Linked DNA regions of Xenopus tropicalis. The protein of the gene in region 2 interacts with the protein of the main gene of each other region in a pairwise test. Links are inferred from orthologs where the notes say so. Each region holds a gene or a part of one and is shown on either strand. Other genes may lie near its edges.

What was found.
Region 1: the proteins of rnf41 (region 2) and homer2 interact in binary tests that used the Homo sapiens proteins (3 or more experiments, as listed by UniProt). The link is inferred for Xenopus tropicalis from reciprocal best matches to the Homo sapiens genes RNF41 and HOMER2.
Region 3: the proteins of rnf41 (region 2) and c1orf109 interact in binary tests that used the Homo sapiens proteins (3 or more experiments, as listed by UniProt). The two-hybrid records come from large-scale screens. The link is inferred for Xenopus tropicalis from reciprocal best matches to the Homo sapiens genes RNF41 and AIRIM.
Region 4: the proteins of rnf41 (region 2) and isca2 interact in binary tests that used the Homo sapiens proteins (3 or more experiments, as listed by UniProt). The link is inferred for Xenopus tropicalis from reciprocal best matches to the Homo sapiens genes RNF41 and ISCA2.
Region 5: the proteins of rnf41 (region 2) and asb6 interact in binary tests that used the Homo sapiens proteins (3 or more experiments, as listed by UniProt). The link is inferred for Xenopus tropicalis from reciprocal best matches to the Homo sapiens genes RNF41 and ASB6.

The regions. Positions count from the first base shown.
Region 1 is NC_030679.2:105,307,807-105,311,321, forward strand, and holds part of homer2 (homer protein homolog 2), read right to left. Parts: intron 2,265-3,515; coding exon 2,154-2,264; intron 1-2,153. UniProt on the Homo sapiens protein: Postsynaptic density scaffolding protein. Binds and cross-links cytoplasmic regions of GRM1, GRM5, ITPR1, DNM3, RYR1, RYR2, SHANK1 and SHANK3.
Region 2 is NC_030678.2:137,453,979-137,457,493, forward strand, and holds part of rnf41 (E3 ubiquitin-protein ligase NRDP1), read left to right. Parts: coding exon 1-14; intron 15-2,316; coding exon 2,317-2,452; intron 2,453-3,102; coding exon 3,103-3,206; intron 3,207-3,515. UniProt on the Homo sapiens protein: Acts as E3 ubiquitin-protein ligase and regulates the degradation of target proteins. Polyubiquitinates MYD88. Negatively regulates MYD88-dependent production of pro-inflammatory cytokines.
Region 3 is NC_030678.2:86,153,956-86,158,201, reverse strand, and holds the start of c1orf109 (uncharacterized protein C1orf109 homolog), read right to left. Parts: upstream 2,801-4,246; 5' UTR 2,559-2,800; coding exon 2,383-2,558; intron 1,612-2,382; coding exon 1,339-1,611; intron 248-1,338; coding exon 68-247; coding exon of another isoform or gene 52-67; exon of another isoform or gene 21-51; intron 1-20. UniProt on the Homo sapiens protein: Part of the 55LCC heterohexameric ATPase complex which is chromatin-associated and promotes replisome proteostasis to maintain replication fork progression and genome stability.
Region 4 is NC_030684.2:82,073,834-82,078,035, forward strand, and holds the start of isca2 (iron-sulfur cluster assembly 2 homolog, mitochondrial), read right to left. Parts: upstream 2,811-4,202; 5' UTR 2,777-2,810; coding exon 2,730-2,776; exon of another isoform or gene 2,687-2,729; intron 713-2,686; coding exon 613-712; intron 1-612. Other genes in the region: npc2 (NPC intracellular cholesterol transporter 2), read left to right, coding at 2,981-2,986. UniProt on the Homo sapiens protein: Involved in the maturation of mitochondrial 4Fe-4S proteins functioning late in the iron-sulfur cluster assembly pathway. May be involved in the binding of an intermediate of Fe/S cluster assembly.
Region 5 is NC_030684.2:22,271,565-22,275,708, reverse strand, and holds the start of asb6 (ankyrin repeat and SOCS box protein 6), read left to right. Parts: upstream 1-1,343; 5' UTR 1,344-1,424; intron 1,425-1,740; 5' UTR 1,741-1,791; coding exon 1,792-1,913; intron 1,914-1,994; coding exon 1,995-2,170; intron 2,171-2,701; coding exon 2,702-2,808; intron 2,809-3,435; coding exon 3,436-3,544; intron 3,545-3,677; coding exon 3,678-3,764; intron 3,765-4,144. UniProt on the Homo sapiens protein: Probable substrate-recognition component of a SCF-like ECS (Elongin-Cullin-SOCS-box protein) E3 ubiquitin-protein ligase complex which mediates the ubiquitination and subsequent proteasomal degradation of target proteins.

The DNA.
Region 1 (3,515 bases), on a different chromosome or scaffold from region 2:
TACTCCATAGTAAAACACCAGTGTGGTAAAGGGGATGGCTACCCAGAAATATGAAATAGTGCATAATGAAAGCAAATGGAATTCAAAGCCAATTTCCAATATAATAAATAACACATTTTCAAATATTAGTTATTTGTAAACATAATTCCTAATGAAAGCATTGCCTATGGATCCCTTGCCACCCCCTGCTGGTCCAAAACCCACAATGTTCATTAGGCCTGGGAAGGTGAAAACAATGAGCTTTGGTGTAAAAAGGTGCAGGAACTTATGAGTTAGGCTATTTCAGCAGCAGATGTTTGAATGGACTAATGGCACAGCTAGAGGCCTAAGGGCCCTGATACGAATTTTGGTGCAGAACCTTCCTCATTTGTGAACCAAAACATCTGTATCACCAGTGGGTTAGTCCCTTACACACTACACCTGTACATGGCCCATTCATACATCAGTTTCTTTTTATTATGTGGGAAGATATGTCATTATGTAGAGCCACATGGGCCCATTAGGTCCAGATGAATTTGCAATGCCCTATAATTACACACCTTTAACTGACTAAAAATGGGAGATGCAGACAGCTCAGCTCAACAACAGGGTACAATCCATGTTTGAAAAAGATATTGCTGGTTTGCTTTACCAGACTAAGGTTTGGGGAAAGAAAATATGCCAACACCCAAATCCCTATGCAATGAATAGCACATCTGAGGCAGATTTACAGATAAATTTACTGTACTGTTCTAAAAGCAGGACCGATTGTGCCATTATAATGATTCCTGTGTCACTCATCCAAATGACATACTTCCCAGCTATATGATTATTTTTATGCTGTTCTGTGCAGATATTCTGGGAGTTTAGCAACTGACTGTCATTTTCAGGGAACCCTCAGAGAGTGACATTTCTAATGCATATATTGTACAGTGCTGGGGTACAGCACAAGCCACAATGGAAGAGGAACAGAGAAAATAAACATTACACTACACTGAACAATGCAAGACAAGTTCTAATTTTAATATTTGCTCCTTAAAGGGTAAGTAAAGCCCTAGAATAAGTTCAGTTAAATCATTTCCCTTCCAGCTGCTGAACTACAGTTCCTGGAATCCCACTAGAGTTGTAGTGCAATAAGCTGGAGGAACAAAAAAGGCACTGCCCTGGGCTGGTTGACACATTGTATTTCCTCATGTCCAGGTCCCCAGCTTTTCTGCTCGCGTGAAGAGGGTAATTTTTTTAACCCTCGCTGACGTTATAGATCTTTGGTGCCTGGGATATGCTATTACTGGGCACACATGGGCAGCTCCGACTGTATGAGCCAAGCACTGTGGACTAAAAGGCAACATATGTGGAGGGCTAAACTTTGCTAAGGCACTGTGTGGTATCCAGTAATGTACTATAGTCTATAGCAGTGCTGTCCAACTTCTGTGGTGCCGAGGGACGGAATTTTTCCATCCTACATGGTGGAGGGCCGATAATGGAAGCCAGTTTGACCACTCCCCCTTTTAAGCCACACCCACTTGAAACCACACCTATGTTATCACATGACCATACCCATATTAATGGTGGTAGTACAGCAAAAACCTGCCATACTCTGCCTTCCCTACCCTGCCTGTGTGTGCCATATTCTGCCTGCCCTATGCTACCTGTGTGCTGGCACTGCTCCTACAGTTTGCACAATAACTATATATTAAAAAACTTTTTAATTGCAGTACCACCTCAGTATATGTTTTTTGTAGTGTGCAGGGTTTATTTGTGGGTGAACAATGTGGGTGATTTCAGCCTGAGCCTGAGGTGTGAACAATGCAGGGGGTGAACAATGTAGGGATTAAAAGGTGTGAAAAACACAGGGTGATTACATGTTTAAACAATACAGGGGGATTACAGCCTGAATCTGAGATGTGAGCAATGCAGGGGGCCAGTTAATCTCAGTACTGATACCATTTAAAGCTTACACAAAGGTAAGCCATCAAAGCAGCCAGACAGGTGGGGGGCCACACAGAGGGGGGTCGGCCCGCGGGCCGCCAGTTGGACAGCCCTGGTCTATAGTAACACAATACATTTACAGAGGTCTGTTCTCCATTTTAAGGCTGACAAGCTGCACATCGTGACCGTTCATGTTCCACAGATATTATGATTAGTGAAGACACTGTAGTTATAAGGTAACGTACTGCTTCTTTGTCTTGGATTTCAACTTCCAGTTCTTGTAATCTGTTGCTGAGCTCCTTGTTCCTCTCTTTTTCCTTCTCTATCTCATCACATTGTGCCTCAAGTTCTCCAATCTAGAAAACAAAAGCATATTGTATATACCAGTGTCATGAACAATGATTAAACAGCAGATACACTGACACATAAAGGGGCATTTTTAGTCTGTGTGTATATAGTAAGGGATCAACATTACACCCCATATATTTAACTCTTTTCTAAGTACTTTTCTAAGTAGATGTGTAGTGGCAACGAACAAACCTAGGATCGCTTAATGTAAGGCATATACTGTATACACTGGAAGAGTTTTAAAGGAGAAGTAAAACTAAAGAAGTAGGCTAAAAATGTTGAACATTCTGTTTTGGGCTTCTGTCCAGCCCAAGGCAACCACAGCAGACCTGTGCCTCCAAAGATGCCCCAGTAGCTCCCCATCTTCTGATCTACTGATTCCCTGCACATGCTCTGTGCTGCTGTCACTTACTGACTTTAAGGTGGCCGTGCATGGGCCAATTTCAGTTGCCAGTATCGGGCAGACCAATTCAGCAGCTTATCTGCCTGTGTATGGGCACCACCGATGGGCCTCCCTGATTGATCTCGAACGCCAGGCTTGATTTTTCTATTGGCGCCTATGCCCGCTGTTTTAATTAAATTGTTTGGCCCTAGGGCCTGTATGTGGGCATATCAGGAGAAGATACACTTGCTTGGTGACCTCTTTTAGTGTATGGCCACCTTTAGGGACTGCCGCATAATTTACTGTATATACAAAATATAAATGTCTCAATATAAGGCATATTAGTAACTTACTCACAGTGAGTAATAATCAGCCCTGTAACATCAGCTTATATTACAGGCCAGCCTCATTTTCTACTTGATAATTTGTGACAACCCCTAAGCTTGGCTTCTCAACAGCTTCTCAGGGCCCACTGATCATGTGAGTGTCACTGACACTTTCCAAGATGGGGAGCTCCTGTGACAACTGTAAAGACTTAGATCATTGTTGTTATTAAGATGCTGAAACTTTAGGCTGGTGCAGTAAGTTCATTTTATAAAGTATCGCATTTTCTAGCCGTATTCATTTTAGGGTTTAGTTCTCCTTTAAGGTTACAATCATGCTGGTATGTGATATTTGAGTGACTTCTACTTTGTACATTAAAGGGGTTGTTCACCTAACTTTTAGTATGTTATAGAATGTCCTATTCATGTCAACGTTGCAATTGTTTCATTATTGGTTTTTTTTTACAGTTTTTGAATTGCATGCCTCCCTTTTCTACATCCTTCCAGCTTTCAAATAGGAGTCACTGACCCCAGCTGCCACAAATCTATTGCTC
Region 2 (3,515 bases):
GAGCAGGGTTGTGGGTAAGTAGTTATATTCTATTGCATATGCATATATATAATATATATGGCCAAAATTGTTGGCACCCCAGAAGTTTTTCCAGAAAATCAAGTATTTCTCACTGAAAAGTATTGCAGTAACACATGTTTTGCTATACACATGTTTATTGCCTTTGTGTGTATTGGAACAGAACAAAAAAGGGAGGTAAAAAAGCAAATTAGACATAATGTCACAAAAAACTCCAAAAATGGGCTGGACAAAATTATTGGCACCCTTAACTTAATATTTGGTTGCACACCCTTTGGAAAAAATAACTGAAATCAGTAGCTTCCTATAACCATCAATAAGCTTCTTGCACCTCTCAATGGGAATTTTGGACCACTCTTCCTTTGCAAACTGCTCCAGTTCTCTCTTATTGGAAGGGCGCCTTTTCCCAACAGCAATTTTAAGATCTCTCCATAAATGTTCAATGGGATTTAGATCTGGACTCATTGCTGGCCACTTCAGAACTCTCCAGTGCTTTGTTGCCATCCATTTCTGGGTGCTTTTTGACATATGCAAACCCAGCTTTCTGACACTGGGCTCTACAGTGCGACCCAAAATCCTTTGGAAATCCTCAGATTTCATGATGCCTTGCACACATTCAAGGCACCCAGTGCCAGAGGCAGCAAAACAACCCCAAAACATCATTGAACCTCCACCATATTGATGGTGATGTGCTTTACCAAAAAGCTCTATCTTGGTCTTATCTGTCCACAAGACGTTTTCCCAGAAGGATTGTGGCTTATTGAAATACTTTTTGGCAAACTGTAGTCTTGCTTTTTTTATGTCTCATAGCGTTTCATTTCATTTAAATGTCGACTGATAGCTTGCGCTGACACTGATGCCCCCTGAGCCTGCAGGACAGCTTGAATTTCTTCGGAACTTGTTTGGGGCTGCTTATCCACCATCCCGACTATCCTGCGTTGCAAACTTTCATCAATTTTTCTCTTCTGTCCTCGTCCAGGAAGATTAGCTACAGTGCCATGGGTTGCAAACTTCTTGATAATGTTGCACACTGTGGACAAAGGCAAATCTAGATCTCTGGAGATGGACTTTGTAACCTTGAGATTGTTGATATTTTCCCACAATTTTGGTTCTCAAGACAGTTTTCTTCTCCTCTTTCTGTTGTCCATGCTTAGTGTGGCACACACAGACACACAATGCAAAGATTAAGTCAACTTCTCTTCTTTTTATCTGTTTTCAGGTGTGATTTTTATATTGCCCACACCTGTTACTATTCCCAGGTGAGTTTAAAGGAGCATCACATGTTTGAAACAATCTTATTTATCCACAATTTTGAAAGGGTGCCAATAATTTTGTCCAGCCCATTTTTGGAGTTTTGTGTGACATTATGTCCAATTTGCTTTTTTTTCCCTCCCTTTTTTGTTCTGTTCCAATACACACAAAGGGAATAAATAAATAGATAAATAAATATATATATATTTTATTAAAATTTGGCGTATTATCTCCAAAAATGAATATTTACTATAACATCAGCAGTATACTAAAAGGTGAATAGAAGAAGTACTGGTAAATTACCTTTACATTGGTGTAAACCTTTACTCAGAGCAAAGATAATTTTCATCTTTCCACATGCAAAATTTCTTTATTTAGAGTACAAAAATGATTTTTTGGAGAAATCTCCCTGGGTTCAGGCTGGTGAACTTCCATTACAAAACAGAGCAGCCACCTTTTACATCTAATCTACACATCCTCTCATTGTTTTTTTTTTTAGTAGGTGACTTCAGCTTATTTTAATTATTTATCTCTAATTTCTATTATTTATTTAACGAGCAGGTGGCAACTTTGTATGTGGTGCAATTCTCTTCTCCCAGTGACCACAAAGCAGGTGCTTATTTTTGAATTCCTGTCTTTGAGGCAAGTTTTGGTTAAAACCCCAATATAGATACAAACTTTACATTAGAAAGTTTCTACCTTTTAGGTTTTAATTTCAAACTCAATTACAAAGGGAGTGACAGTGGTAAGATATATTGGGTTTCTGTTTCAATGATACAGGTATTCAGGTCCAGCAGTGTTGACTTCCATTTCCCTGCCATTTTACTTCTTTACAGGCCTTTAATCAGAGAGAATGGCATTGTGGAAATTGGAGTCTTGGCTGGGGGACAACAGAATGCTGCCACAGTGCTTCAGTGATGCTTGTAGCAACATCCAATGATGCAGTAAATAGCAAAGGCTGCTTATGGGCTTGAACTTTTAGCAGGTGGCAGCCAGATATTTACAGACAGTTTAAATAATGTTTGTGTATATCATTCTATCTTCCAGACTGGAAATGCCCAAAGATGAACTACCAAACCACAACTGCATAAAACACCTGCGCTCTGTGGTGCAGCAACAGCAGATACGGATAGGGGAGCTGGAAAAAGCAGCTGCTGAGAGCAAGCACCAGCTCTCTGAACAGGTAATGTCTTTGCATTCATTTTGTATACAATTTTAAGGGCTAGGACACACAGAGCATTGGCTACGCTGCTCTCAGGCTGAGAAAAGAGGATCCATTCCCTTCCACATCTCCATGTATCTGCACTGACAGGCACAGCTTCTGTCTGAGTACAGGTACACCGAGCAGAACGGAGTTTGGACTGAAAAATGGGAATGCAGGCATTTTTGGGCTGATCTCCATTCTGTGTACCTGCACTCAGGCAGAAGCTGTACTTGTCATTGCAGATACACAGAGCTGTGGAAGAAAGCAGTTTTAGTTCAAGACCATTGATCAAGCCAAGTTTTTCTCTCTGCATTCATCTGCCCCCAATTTTGAACAGTTCCACAGCTATAGAAACAGGCCACTCTTCTGGCCAAGGACAACTTCTTTCCTTATTACTAAGCAACATTGTAATGGAAAATATTTAGTGTCCTTATCTATTAAAGCATGCTGAGCATTTGTATTGTTTATTTTGATTTACTTTAATTCATACCATTTCTGTATTTTGTCAGATTTTGTTTTTAACCATATTAAAAAAGGCATAAAAACCTTGTTATACCTAAAGTTAAATAAAATAAATTATTTTTTATTTTGACCAAATGTGTCCATGTGTGCCTCTTTAACATCCACAGAAAAGGGATATCCAGTTGCTGAAAGCCTATATGAGAGCCATCCGAAGCGCCAATCCAAACCTACAGAACCTAGAAGAGACTATAGAGTACAATGAAATCCTTGAGTAAGTTTTATAGTATTAAATGCACAGTTTAGGCTTTCATATTACCTAACTAACATAGTAACCCTTCATATGCCATAATGTTTGAAATATTGGCAAATTGAATGCCACAAAGCTGTCTAGGTTTAGTTAAAAAAAGACCCTGGTTGTGACTGTGTGGTCAGAGACAAAAGGCCCATAATCTTCTATATCTGGTTTATCCGCCTTACTTAAATGGTCTTGTTTCATAGTGGCTTTAGTTTCAGGTTACATGGTGTTTAAGGGTGAAGACACACTGAGCTACTAGTAGCAGCTACTTGTCATAGCTACTAA
Region 3 (4,246 bases), about 51 Mb from region 2:
ATGGGAACAGGGATTCCTACTTGTGTCTCAAGGCAGGACTTGTTAGTAGTTCTACTTTAAAGGATACTGGTTTCTGTAATGTTTCTCTATATCTTGTAGCCATTCTAACATGTCAGCTATGGAAGGACAGAGAGAAGAACGCTCCAAAATTGCTTCAAGACCAATTTTTTCAATGCTTGTCTCATACATGTAGAGGACAGATCCAACCACCTGACTTACAGAGTCCCTTATTCTCTGCAGCGTAGACCTGTAAAATTTAGCAATTGAAGAGTTACAAAATGTAGATAATCCTTGTATTCAGGAAATACTTTTTTTCAAGTGAAAATCTGATGCCCAGTTTGGCAACCTACAATATTTACTGCCTGTGATAATGCCCAACAATGTAAATAGCATTTTGTATTAGGCCATAAACAAGTCTGTACAGATTACACACATCCAAAAACCTAGACCTTTGGCTTTCATGTTTTAACTTGCTGTGGGTATGTGATTATTTTGCAATATCCTGCTGAGAGTAAAAGGTATAAAGTGATTAAAACTAGTACTGTGCAATTAGTAGTCACAATGTAATAATTTATTGTAGGAAAATATTAAACCTATTACTGATTTGGTTAGATTTTGTGGGAACCAAAAGGTAGTGATTACACAACTGACAATCATGTACTTCACACTGAAATACAACCAACCAGCTTGAGGTTATATTGTGGGGATATAAACCTTCCATACAAAATAAATTAACCTGTAACTTGTATGCAAGTGTGAGTATCAACGCCATTTCATATCTCTTCTTATTGAGGAAGAAGAAAATTGCTGCTAAAAATATAAGAATATTTATAAAGGCAAAACCTGCCGAGTACAAAAAAATGTGCATCCTATGAGAATGTATTGTCCAAAATCCATTCTTTTAGCAGTGTATCACTTTAGAACTAACAACTGCTATATCTACTCAGCAGAGTAGATTTAAGGTAAGGGAACATGGAGCGGATACTCTTTCTTTCACCTGCAGTTTTTACCCAGGCAGAGGAAAGTGGATCCACTGTCATGCGCTCCTTCCTGTAGAACCATTAACAGGCAGTGTCTGCCTGTGTGGAGCTACACATAGCGGATATTGGCGCAGAAACACTCAAGTATGCCTATTCGTGCTGATATCCGCTCAGTGTAGCACAATACACACTGAAGCTGTGTCAGTCAATGGAAAGATATCTACATTAAGTATGACAAGCAAGTAATTCAGTGTTTTCAGAACTGATGTACATGTAAAGTGATGCTTGTATCTTATCTAAAAATTTGCATGGTGATACCAGCACCGGAAGGGTTGAACCAACAACACATTGGACTTACAACTTCTGATTTAAGATCTCCAAATTAAACTCCATAGCTGCTTGTAGTTTAAAACGAAGATGTTCTTGCAGGTTAATAAAGCTGCTCAGGGGGGTTTTCTTAAACAGTACTCTCTGGCAGGCCTGTAGCTGTTCTGCTAGATTACTTAAAGAAGTTAGGTGTGGGTTACACTCTAAAAGTGTATTATTCCATTCTTCATGCAGTGGTTCTATGGCATCAAAGGACTTTCTCAGCGATTGCTGCACGGAAACAAAGGCTGGTTTCTCAGACATCCTATAAAACGATAAAACTGGTGAAATACATGTCATAAATCTGATGCTTTGCACTTAAAATAAAACTCAAGCCAACAAATCAGTTATACAGCGTTATGAATGCAAAAACACACAACACCTTTCTAAGTATTTAAACCCTTGAAAAAGATATACTCACATTAGCCTAGTAATATTTAACTCAGTATAGTAAAATGTATGCTGAAATGTCTTAGAGAAGTAGGCATATGTTTAAACTAAGTTGCAGCAAACATTTCTTAAAGGAGACATAAATTACATAAACTTTAATCTTGTAGACAATTATGAATAATATATGGGGCTGGTTTTACTTTGGTATAAAAATTAAAACTATCTGTAAGAACTGTCCCTTTTTGGAATTCCCTATAGATCCTCTCAGGTCCCTGTCCGTGTTTCAGATGAGAGGTGGGCATGTTCTAATAGTCCCTGCCAGAAGCACAGTAAAAGGGGGAGAGCCAATCACAGCCCTGCAGTCACACAGGCAAAGACAGGCTTCAGTTCCCTATCAGGTCAGTCTAGCTGCTGATTGGTTCCTATATAGTGTGCTGAGTGCCGCTGGCCTCCCCTGAACAACCTGGGAAAGGAGGTAGCCAGAAGTGGAACAGATAAATAAAATCAATAAATCAGCCCCAAACACTACTTTTTAAAGCACATTTCTTTTATATTTAGATGAGTACAAATCATTGGCACAATATGGTTTTTCACACAATATGTCCCCTTTATTTTAAAAACAATAGGCCAGATTATGGGTACATACCCGCTGGCATTTATCCGTGCGTTTTGATGTGTCATATCATGACAACCCAAGGGCCAAATGACTTCAGAGGGAGTGGACACCAATGCTAAAATTGCTTGCAAATCTATAATAGCAGCAATTAGGCAAACATTTGTTATCAGATTTGCTCTGACTCGAAGATTTTGGCACACATGCATAATTTATATTGTTTTAAAATCGCTTTATGTTGGCAATGATCAGTAATATGTGGCACCCGATAAAATCTAAGCCATAAAGTATTGTTAACTTTAACAAAAAAAACTGCTTAATTAGTTCTACCTATTATGGGAGTGGCTTTCTAGTACTTCCAGTGTTATGGGTATCAGTTTTTTTTGTTTTATTTTAAAGCAGGGGTAGGGAACCTATGGCTCGGGAGCCAGATGTGGCTCTTTTGATGGCTGCATCTGGCTCGCTGCCAAATCTTTAATAAAAAAAAAAATAACAGGGGGTGTGGCCTGCGCTCGGCAGATAGAAGACATGTTCTATACGCCGAGCACAGGCCACGCCCTCCTCCGCATTGCATCCAGCAACCGGCATCCTTGGGACCCACCCAACCTTGCCCCGCGGCCAAACATATTATAGGGAATTACATTTTAAAATATGTGGTGTTTATGGCTCCCTCAGCCAAAAAGGTTCCCGACCCCTGCTTTAAAGGTTAAACAACCTATGGCTACCTGTGCTGCATTTTTTCTTTTATTTTTTATACATAGTTGGTAAAAAAAAATCTATAGATATGGTACAGCTGGTATTTGTTTGCTGGAAAAGTTGGACCTAGACCTAGCAGTAGTTACTGCCAGGAGTTGTAAGGAACAGAGGCATTGTTGCATGCTTGGAACAGTGATTACAGGAAAAAATAAGTATATCCACCCCTATATTAGCAGTTACCACAGTGGAAGATGTTCTACATAACACTACCAGAATAACATTAATAAATCTAAGATTATTTTTATAAGGGCGAATCATCGGCTCAAATGTATATAAAAGGTGATATATTTCAGTATTGCTTTCAATTATTTACTAAGAAAAAAGTAAGGCTATCCGTATTACATTGATTCGTGTCCTTAAACAGCATTACAAACAATGTCATATATAATGTCATATAGAACAGAAAAGGTAAAATAAAAACAGCGTCAACTTCCCAATTCAAACGCACGTATTTCACCAGACCTGGAAAAGCTGCTTAGCTTGCCCGCTATCATTAGCACAACTGCAACGTGAATACATTCACCTTTTTTTTTAAAGCCGGAAATGGAAACCTACAGCCGCACGGCATGAAGGGAATTGTAGTTTAAAGTCTTGTTATTGCTATCGAGGTGACTGGCGCGACAATTGTTTATTCCTTATTTTCCTTGGTAACAATTGCAGTTTAAGTTGGTTTAATACCATAATTGTGCATGAGAGTAGCTAACGTAAATTTTGATTTGTCGGCGCTGCTATAAAGGATATTTTATGATAAATCGCTAGAAACTACAAATCCCAAAAATATTTAAATAAGAGGGAATTATTTCCGGATCGGAGGTAACGTTCGGTGGTTTCCGGTTTATAGAGAAGGTAGATTGCTTAACATTTTGGTTCTTCTCGGTGTGTGTTTGTGAAAAGATTATAGTGCCAGCATGAATGAGGAGGATGATAGGGGCAGGAAGCGGAGACCACACAGCCCGGAGACAGTAACTATAAAACAGGAAAGGATAAGCCCCGTCAGGCAGCACCGCACCCGGCGAACTCCAAGCCCTCGAAGCAGCGATGGGGGATCCCCTCACCGGCACCAAGGGCGCAGGCGAAGCAGGTAATACCATAAAAAAACAATTCAAAATTGTGTGTGTGTGTGTGTGTGTGTGTGTGTGTG
Region 4 (4,202 bases), on a different chromosome or scaffold from region 2:
TAAGGAGTGCCCAGAAACACATACTGATAAAAAGTTTTAGTATAAGTTTATGAAAAACATCTTGTGTTTACAGAGCCCTAAGATGAATTTGTGTGGCTTGGCAACATTTAGTAATACCACAATGTACTGCTGAATAGTTCTACATTACTAAACAGTATAGAAATCTCATTGTCCAAATGAGCAGGACTGTTATTTTGGGGTAAACTCATGGCAGATTGAAGCTCAGCTCCTTAGAAAACCTCTATGTACATATTTTATTGCATTTGGTGGTACACTATGGGGTGCTAAAATCTGATTGCTCAGAAAGACAGAAGGGAGATTGTAGATTGGGGGGGTCGATATTTTGTGACTACAAAGCAGAAAATAACTTCCTCCTGGATTAGAGAACTGTGCACAAAAAGTTTTAGCAGAGCCAGTGACAACTGGGGGGGGCTAGCAGGTACAGGGGAACAAGCGTGGCACTGGCTGATGTAGTAAATAAATATGTTTATGAAAAATGCCATATTTTAGAGAGGCTCTAAAATTATTTTGCTTTGGGGACAATTAACCTCTAGAAACATCAACAATGTGAGGAAAAATTGTGATTTTTTTTCAGTAGAACAAAAATCTCACCTTTATACAGCGGTCTGTTAGCAATATTTGTCCCTCCTTGAGTGTCTCTGACAAATAGCGGACAGGAAGCTCACAGGACAGAAGCGCTGGGAGGACAGACCTGTAGAAGAAAAAATTTTAAAACCAGATAGAGATATACCCTAAAATGGGAGATGGGGAGGAATCAATAAAAAAAAACAATAAAACCTGATGGAAAGAAGGATTCACCGTGCACAGTTAAAAGGGATTCTGTCATGATTTTTATGGTGTACTTTTATTACACTGTTTACATTGCATATAATTCACTCCACCATTTTAAATGATATTCTTGAACCAACAAATGTATTTTTTTAGTTGTACTATTGGTGTGTAGGCAGCCATCTCATTGCATTGTGCCTGAGTCTGAGCTTTCAGGAGGAGCCAGCACTACACAACATAACTGCTTTGGGATAAAATATTGTTTCTCTTACTTCTAGTTTCTAATACTGTAAGTGGAGGAGTCATGACTTGGGTGAGGCAGACTTGGATTTTTTCTATTGAGTGACAAGCAGCTGTCAGGGAGCTGTTTTCTTGCTACTTTTCCATTATTCTGCTGATTGTCCGTTTGGACCCCACATTACTTTTGTGAGCTGTACACAGTACAATATTCCTCTCTTTGTTTTATGCTCAAAAACTGTCAATTTTGTATTTGTACTACATTCCTGCCTTGCCCACAATTCCAAGGGCAATTACACACATTGCGACTGTAAGCTTTCTGTTGCACAAACAATTTATGGCTCTCTGGGCAAAGGAAAAACACTACTGCCTGTGAGCATGGATGCACCTTCTTGTCAGGTAAATGTATTTTGGAAAATGCTGACTGACACATCTTCCTTGGGATAAGCCCCTATTAAGTAGGGGCACCTGCTCTTCCTGGCATGGTTTTCATCTGGGTTACAAGGAGTGCATTCAGAACCTTTGGTAGGAATTCCGAGATGGAAAGGTGCAATTAGGGGGGTCACGACAGGGGTGATGCTTGTAGTTAGTTGGTGGGGTTCTTATGTATTACAAGTATTGTCATAATTGGAGAGTGGCTGGGGCAAATTAGCAGCATGATGGAGCTTGCATGGGGCATATTTTTTTAAATTTGGGCCCCCCAAAAGGGTGCGGCATCAGAAAAGTGGTTGGAGTTTGGGCAGATCAGGGATGCCCACATATAACTGGTCATGGTAATGGTCTAATTTAACCTTCATTTGGTAATTCAAATGTTGAGGTACATAACAGTTATTTAAACGAAACAAATAATAATCTAACACTACTGGATAGGAGCGAGAGACTGCACAAGGTTCCTGGTCGTCTCCTCTGCTCCTCTCAGAGCCTCCGTCTCTTTACACCATCCACACCCACTGCGCTCTCTCGTCTTAAACCTTTCTATCTCGCTGCTCCTTACCTCTGGAACTCTATCCCTGAATCCCTCCGTAGGGAACACTCACTAACTCTCTTTAAGAAAAAACTCAGCTGTTACCTTCTGGAGCACTAAGACATTATTTTGCCCAGTCCTGCGCTTAAGGGCAAATGCCCATACCTAGTGCTCTCTTACCTTCCAGTTTGTGCCTGTATGTTACCCAACCACTCAGATTGTAAGCTCTATGGGGCAGGGACCTCCTTCCTACTGTGTCTCATACCACATGGCACACACACACACACATATATATATATATATGTGTATTTATTTATTATATCACTCGTCCTCCCTGTGTGTAATTTTGTATTCTGTAAGACTGTACAGCGCTGCGTACCCTTGTGGCGCTTTATAAATAAAGTTATACATACATACATACAAGGAAACTGAGGGTCAAGCCCAGGACACAACCCTTCGAGACCTAGAAATTTTCCATAGATAATTTAGACAAATAGTATCTGCTTATTACAATTATAGTTAAAAAAATTATTTAGTGACAGATCCAATTTAACTCCTTGATGCAATACTCATATTTAGCAAACTTATACAACTGGAGAACAAGGGGTGTGTCACACAGTCCTAGACAGAGGACGTATGCAAGCTTATATAGACAACGCAGAGGTAACATCTATTCCAACAAGTCTAGCAAAGCCAGGAAGTTGAGCATAACGAGAGGCACGTGACCGGATCCTCTTACCTCCGTGCCGCTCCCGTTACGCAGAACAGAAATCTCCCGGCCGCCATCTTGGTGTTCCTTATAGCGAATTGAGCTCTCCTTTCATTGGATTCCAAAGTGCTTCGCTGCCTACGCAAGATCGCTTATGATTGGGTGTTACCCCTCTCCATAGTTATACGTCATCAGCTGACCACGGAAGGGTGGAAAGCTCTCAAAACATCACAAGATCTAAAGCTGCTGGAGGCGGTGAGAGTTCGCTGTGTACTGGAAGGATGTCGGTAGGTAACTGTATTAGAATAGGCGGTTTTTTTCAGTATATTCTTTATTCATATGACATTTTACCACATTTAAAGCTTGCAGAGAACTATTTCTTTAACTTTACTCGAAAACATACCAGGAGACTTTATTATGAGCGGCTTTACGAGTGACCTTATGAGTGAACTACTAAGATTCTTAGCTCAGCAATACAAATGAATGTGTGTGTGTGTGATGAAGTTCGGAAAGCAAACCGGACTTTTAATCATTGCTAAAGGGATCAATGGTTTTCTAGTGAGCGCTACTGTTACTAGGAGGAGCAACTTGGAAATGCCGAAGTGAATGTGAAGGCGCTGGGTCCTTAACCCCAGTGATCTGTCTCTGCAATGGACAGTTTTAATTCATTTAAAGGCGTTGCCCACCTTTGAGTTAACTTTTAATACGATGTAGAGAGTAATGTTCGGAGACAATCTGCAATTGGTCTTCTTTTTTAATTCTAGTTTATAATGATTTTACTTTTTGTTTGGCACCTCTCCAACTTGGAATTTCAGCAGTTATTTGGTTGCTAGGGTCCAAATTACCTTAGCAACCAGGGTGTGGTTTGAATGAAAGACTGATCTATGAACAGGAGAGAACCTGAATAGAAAAATAAGTAATATAAAGTAACTTTAACAATTAAACTGGAGCTTCAACAATTAAACTGGAGCTTCACAGAGCAATAGTTTTTTTTGACTCAGGGGTCAGTTGAAAGCTACAAAGAGTTTAAGGAAAAAGGCAAATCATTCAAAAACTATGAAAAACAAATAATGAAGACTAATTCAAAAGTTGCTTAGAATTAATTTAAAGGTGAATCACCCCTTTAAGGTGTATAGTTATTTCTAAGGAAACTTATGGGTGCTGAAGGTGTCACATTCAGTCTGGGGCTCCTAAGACACTTGTTAAGAAGCCATGAACAAACTTTATAAAAAAAAAAAAAAAAAAAACATTTCAGCCTTTCTAGTTTCTGCAGTCTGTGTACTACCCGGCAAGTGCCATGTAGCAGAGCTATCAAGTCTCCCAAATGAATTGGTAGTATCACAAACAATCCCGTCCAGCATGCCCTGCCTTCCCAAAAATCCTTATGAGCTCCCAAAGCTCACTGCACAGGCACAGTAAGCATTCCATGACATTACGTGCATTGTGTGTATGTGCAGTTACATCAAGCAAAAAACTTGCACTGGACTGGTTGACAGTTCTGCA
Region 5 (4,144 bases), on a different chromosome or scaffold from region 2:
CTTGGTTGTAGCAGACAATGCCAGGCAGCAGCTGCAAGGGCAAACAAGGTTTTGAGCTGTATTAAAAGGGGTATAGATTCACGGGAGGAGGGTGTTATTTTTCCCCTTTACAGAGCGCTGGTAAGGCCCCATCTAGAATATGATGTTCAGTTTTGGTCTCCAGTGCTTAAACAGGACATTATTGAATTAGAGAGGGTCCAGAGAAGGGCAACTAAGCTGGTAAAGGGTATGGAAAGTCTCAGTTATGAAGAAAGACTGGCCAAGATGCGCTTAAGAGGTGACGTGATAACTATGTATAAATATATAAGGGGATCATATAATAACCTCTCTAATACTTTATTTACCAGTAGGGAACCCACTCCGTTTAGAAGTAGGTAGGTTCCGTTTAAATATTCGGAAAGGATTCTTATAGCTTTAAGAAGGGGTTGGATGGCTACTTAACAAGTGAGGGAATACAGGGTTATGGGAGATCCAGGGACTGGTCCGATTGCCATCTTGGAGTCAGTAAGGAATTTTTTTCCCCTGCGGCAAATTAGAGAGGCTTCAGATGGTGTTTTTTGCCTTCCTCTGGATCAACTAGAAGTTAGGCAGGTTATATATAGGCATGAACGTGATGGAAGTACGTCTTTTTTCAACCTAACTTACTATGTATGGCAGAATAGGGATTCCCCTGTACTAAGCAAAATTCAGCGGGAACAGCCTCCTAAGGCATGAGAGGCTGCTAGGCTGCTTAACGTGCTGCCCTACCTGATTACGGTTGCCAAAAGGCAATGATTTTGCCAGGCTTGGTGCCACAGTGATTATTAGGTAAATGATATAGGGCTAGAATCAAGTGTATGACCCTAATAGCACAGTGGTGACACCCACTGGCACTAAATCAGGCCTATGAGGACCTCCCTCCACCAAACATGTATTTGCCTTTTCCCTTCTCTGGTTCTGACTGTTGAAACAATGTAGCAAAAGTTAAGTGTTAGTCAGTTGGCTTCTGCTACACTGTTTAAGGAGTCAGAATCAGCAATGTCGAGAGGAGAAACAGCCAGGCCTATACTGCTTCTAACAGGATTACATAAAAAATAATTTTCCAACCCCCTGTAATTAATATATCTATATATGTATCAGTATGAGCTACCCGCCCCGCTAGCCAGGCTACTTACTAACTAACCCCTGGCAGGATGGACTCTTCCGATTCCCCCCAACCCCGGCAGTCTCACATTTCAGTCCTAATATGAAACAATTTACAGCATTTGCCGGCACGGCTCACGGCTCATTAGCTAATTGGCGAGCGCCCTCTGCTGTCCTACATAACGCATCGCCATCTCCTTCATTCTGGTGCGCCTGCGCCTACAGCACGTCCAACAACCACGCCCACTCGCTGAGGAGCTCTGTGTTCCGTATTCAGCAGAGCAGCTTCCGGCGGGGCGTAGGTAAGTGGGAGATGTTTGTGTATGTTGCATGGGGCGCATAGATGTCATAGTTGTGACTTAAAATAGTCCCAAAATGTTTGAATGTGATCGCCATCAAGTCAAAACGCAGAAATCCTTATTTTGTTGTGAGCCCAGTGCAGGGCCAGGGACCGTGTGAGGGCTTTAGGCTATGTGCTACTTAGTTATAATGCAGTGTTATGGTTATGCTATTTGACCTTACATTAGCCTTCTCTGGGTTTCTAATAATGTGGAGGTGGGAAGAGGAAACAGCCCTATGACTGACTCACACCTGCCTGTGTTTTTTTCTGTACTGAAGGACCAGGCAGCAGTTCTGCTGGTGGTGGAAGATTGAGACTCTCTTGCCACTATGCCATTCCTCCATGGCTTTCGGAGGATTATATTCGAGTACCAGCCTTTGGTGGATGAGATCCTGGGGGCTCTGGGTATTCAGGACCCTGAACAGCCGGTGGCGGCAGACACCAGAAGCAGGTATTGGAGCCTTATCATTAGTAAGCGCTTAGAGTACCATGCTATTGGTGGCCTGGAATCACGTGTATTTTCTGCTTTTAGTTTCCTGGTTGGAGAGAGTGAGGAGTTCCTGGCGCTGAATGAGTTACTGGAGAGGCATTCTCAGTCTTCCTTTTACAAGGAGGGAGTCAGTTACTCGCTGCTGAAGGTGGCCGAGCTGGGGATGGTTCCGTCGGCCAAAATCCTCCTGCAGTTTGGGGCAGATCTCAGCTTTGAGGGTAGGTATGGTGAGCTCCTAATAAACTATGTTTCTAGTTAGTTTAAAGGTGGCCAAGGTTTGGTTGGATGATTCCAATGATTTTGAGCATGTTGACCGACCAAGTGGGACAGTCAGACCTTAGAACCTGACATTAGGGCAATTAGATATTGTGGAGGAAATAAGAAGGGGCTGATAGAAACTGTCACAGCTTGGGGGCCCATAGGGAGACTCTGGAACTGTGGAAGCCAGTCCGACCCTGGATCCGCAGCTCCTCTTCACTTTCTGCAGTTCTGATTGGTTGGGTTGGTGGCTTGAACAAAAGGAATGTTAGATTGTGGCCATGTGTATGTATGGCCACCAGTATGTTATGAATCTGTTTATCAGGCTGTGGCTTGTGTGCTGCTAATGGGTTGGCCAAGTCACTTTCAGCCAATCTAGAGTGGCTTTGCAGCACCTTTTGCATTTAGCTCACCAGCTTTGGCCCATGGTGCAGAGGATATAGTAGCTGTAGCGCTTAAGTAACTCTCACTTGCAATGTTTCCCTCACCAGATCCGGTGACCTACTACACGGCGCTACACATTGCGGTACTGAGAAACCAGCCAGAAATGGTGGAGCTGTTGGTGCAGAGCGGAGCTGATATTAACAAGAGGGACAGGGTAAGGATCAAGTTTCAGCTGTATTCTGGTGTCCTGCAGTGGTTTGGTACCTGCGGGTAGGTTTTTCAGATGTAGTTATAGATGCGGGTCAGGTTGTGGGCGACCTATAGTCCTTATATTATCTATATTTTACCCCTTTAAACTTTTTCTTAAACTTCTACCCCCACCCACTTTTGATGATGTCACTTCCAGTTTAAAGGTGGTCAGCAAGTCACAGATCTGGTTAGGTAGCAGGTCCAAGCAGGTTAAAATGTGGGTTTGGGTTGCAGGTTGTGGGCTGAGGGACCGAATATCAAAAATGAGTTCTTGCACAGGCCTCTATCCTGGTGGCCTGTACCCTACTGGAAATACTCAGCATGTTTCTATACCTTATGCCAGGCCCTTAAGGGAATCCTATCCCCTCAGGCAAAGCTGATCTCTCCAGTTCTGGGTTCTGCATTCCACCAATGCACAGTGACCTGGGAGAGGCACAAAACTCTGATAGGCTGGCTTATCATTGTAAACAATTTCTTCTGCTGCTCACTACCAACTTACTTGGCAAAAACCCATTGTGTGAGACAAGGTGATCTAGAAGTGCAGTGTCACATAATTTACCTTTTCTTGTATTTTATCCTCCTGTATATACAGATCCATGAAAGCAGTCCATTGGACTTGGCTAGTGAAGAACCAGAGCGACTGCCGTGCCTGCAACGCCTGCTGGAGCTCAGCGCTGATGTAAATGCAGCTGACAAAAATGGTAAGTGGATTTAGGGGTTTAAGCTGGGTTTTACCCCTCCCTTAGCAGGAATGACAGGGACCTTGTATTCGGGAATGAATACCGCCTTAATAAACGGGAAGTCACATTGTATGTTAAACGGATTATTATGCAGGGAAGACGGCGTTATTACACGCACTGGCCAGCAGTGATGGCGTTCAGATCCATAACATAGAAAACATCCGTCTGCTGCTCGAAGGAGGTGAGTGTGTTCCTTCCTTGTGTCAGTCTGTCTGTGCTCTGAGATCATGGAATATTCCACTGTGGCCCAAATGATCACTACAGATTCCTTGTTCCAACCGTGCCTGGAGGCAGTGGTACAGACGCTGGTAAGAGAGTAGGCAGCATATTGACCCCTTATTAATCGCATCATATGAGTACTGGATTAGAACTTTTCTCTGGCGTTTGCCTGACTGGTCCGCATAGGCCCATAGTATAGTATTTGAACCGTTTTTGGTCCAAGCCTTTAAGGGGGAGCTCACCTTCCAAACACTTAGTTTAGCTCCTTGGAAAACACCAAAGGTGACCTACCCCGTTAAGAATAGTTCAGTGCAACACATATATAATGTGTATTGGGTCAGT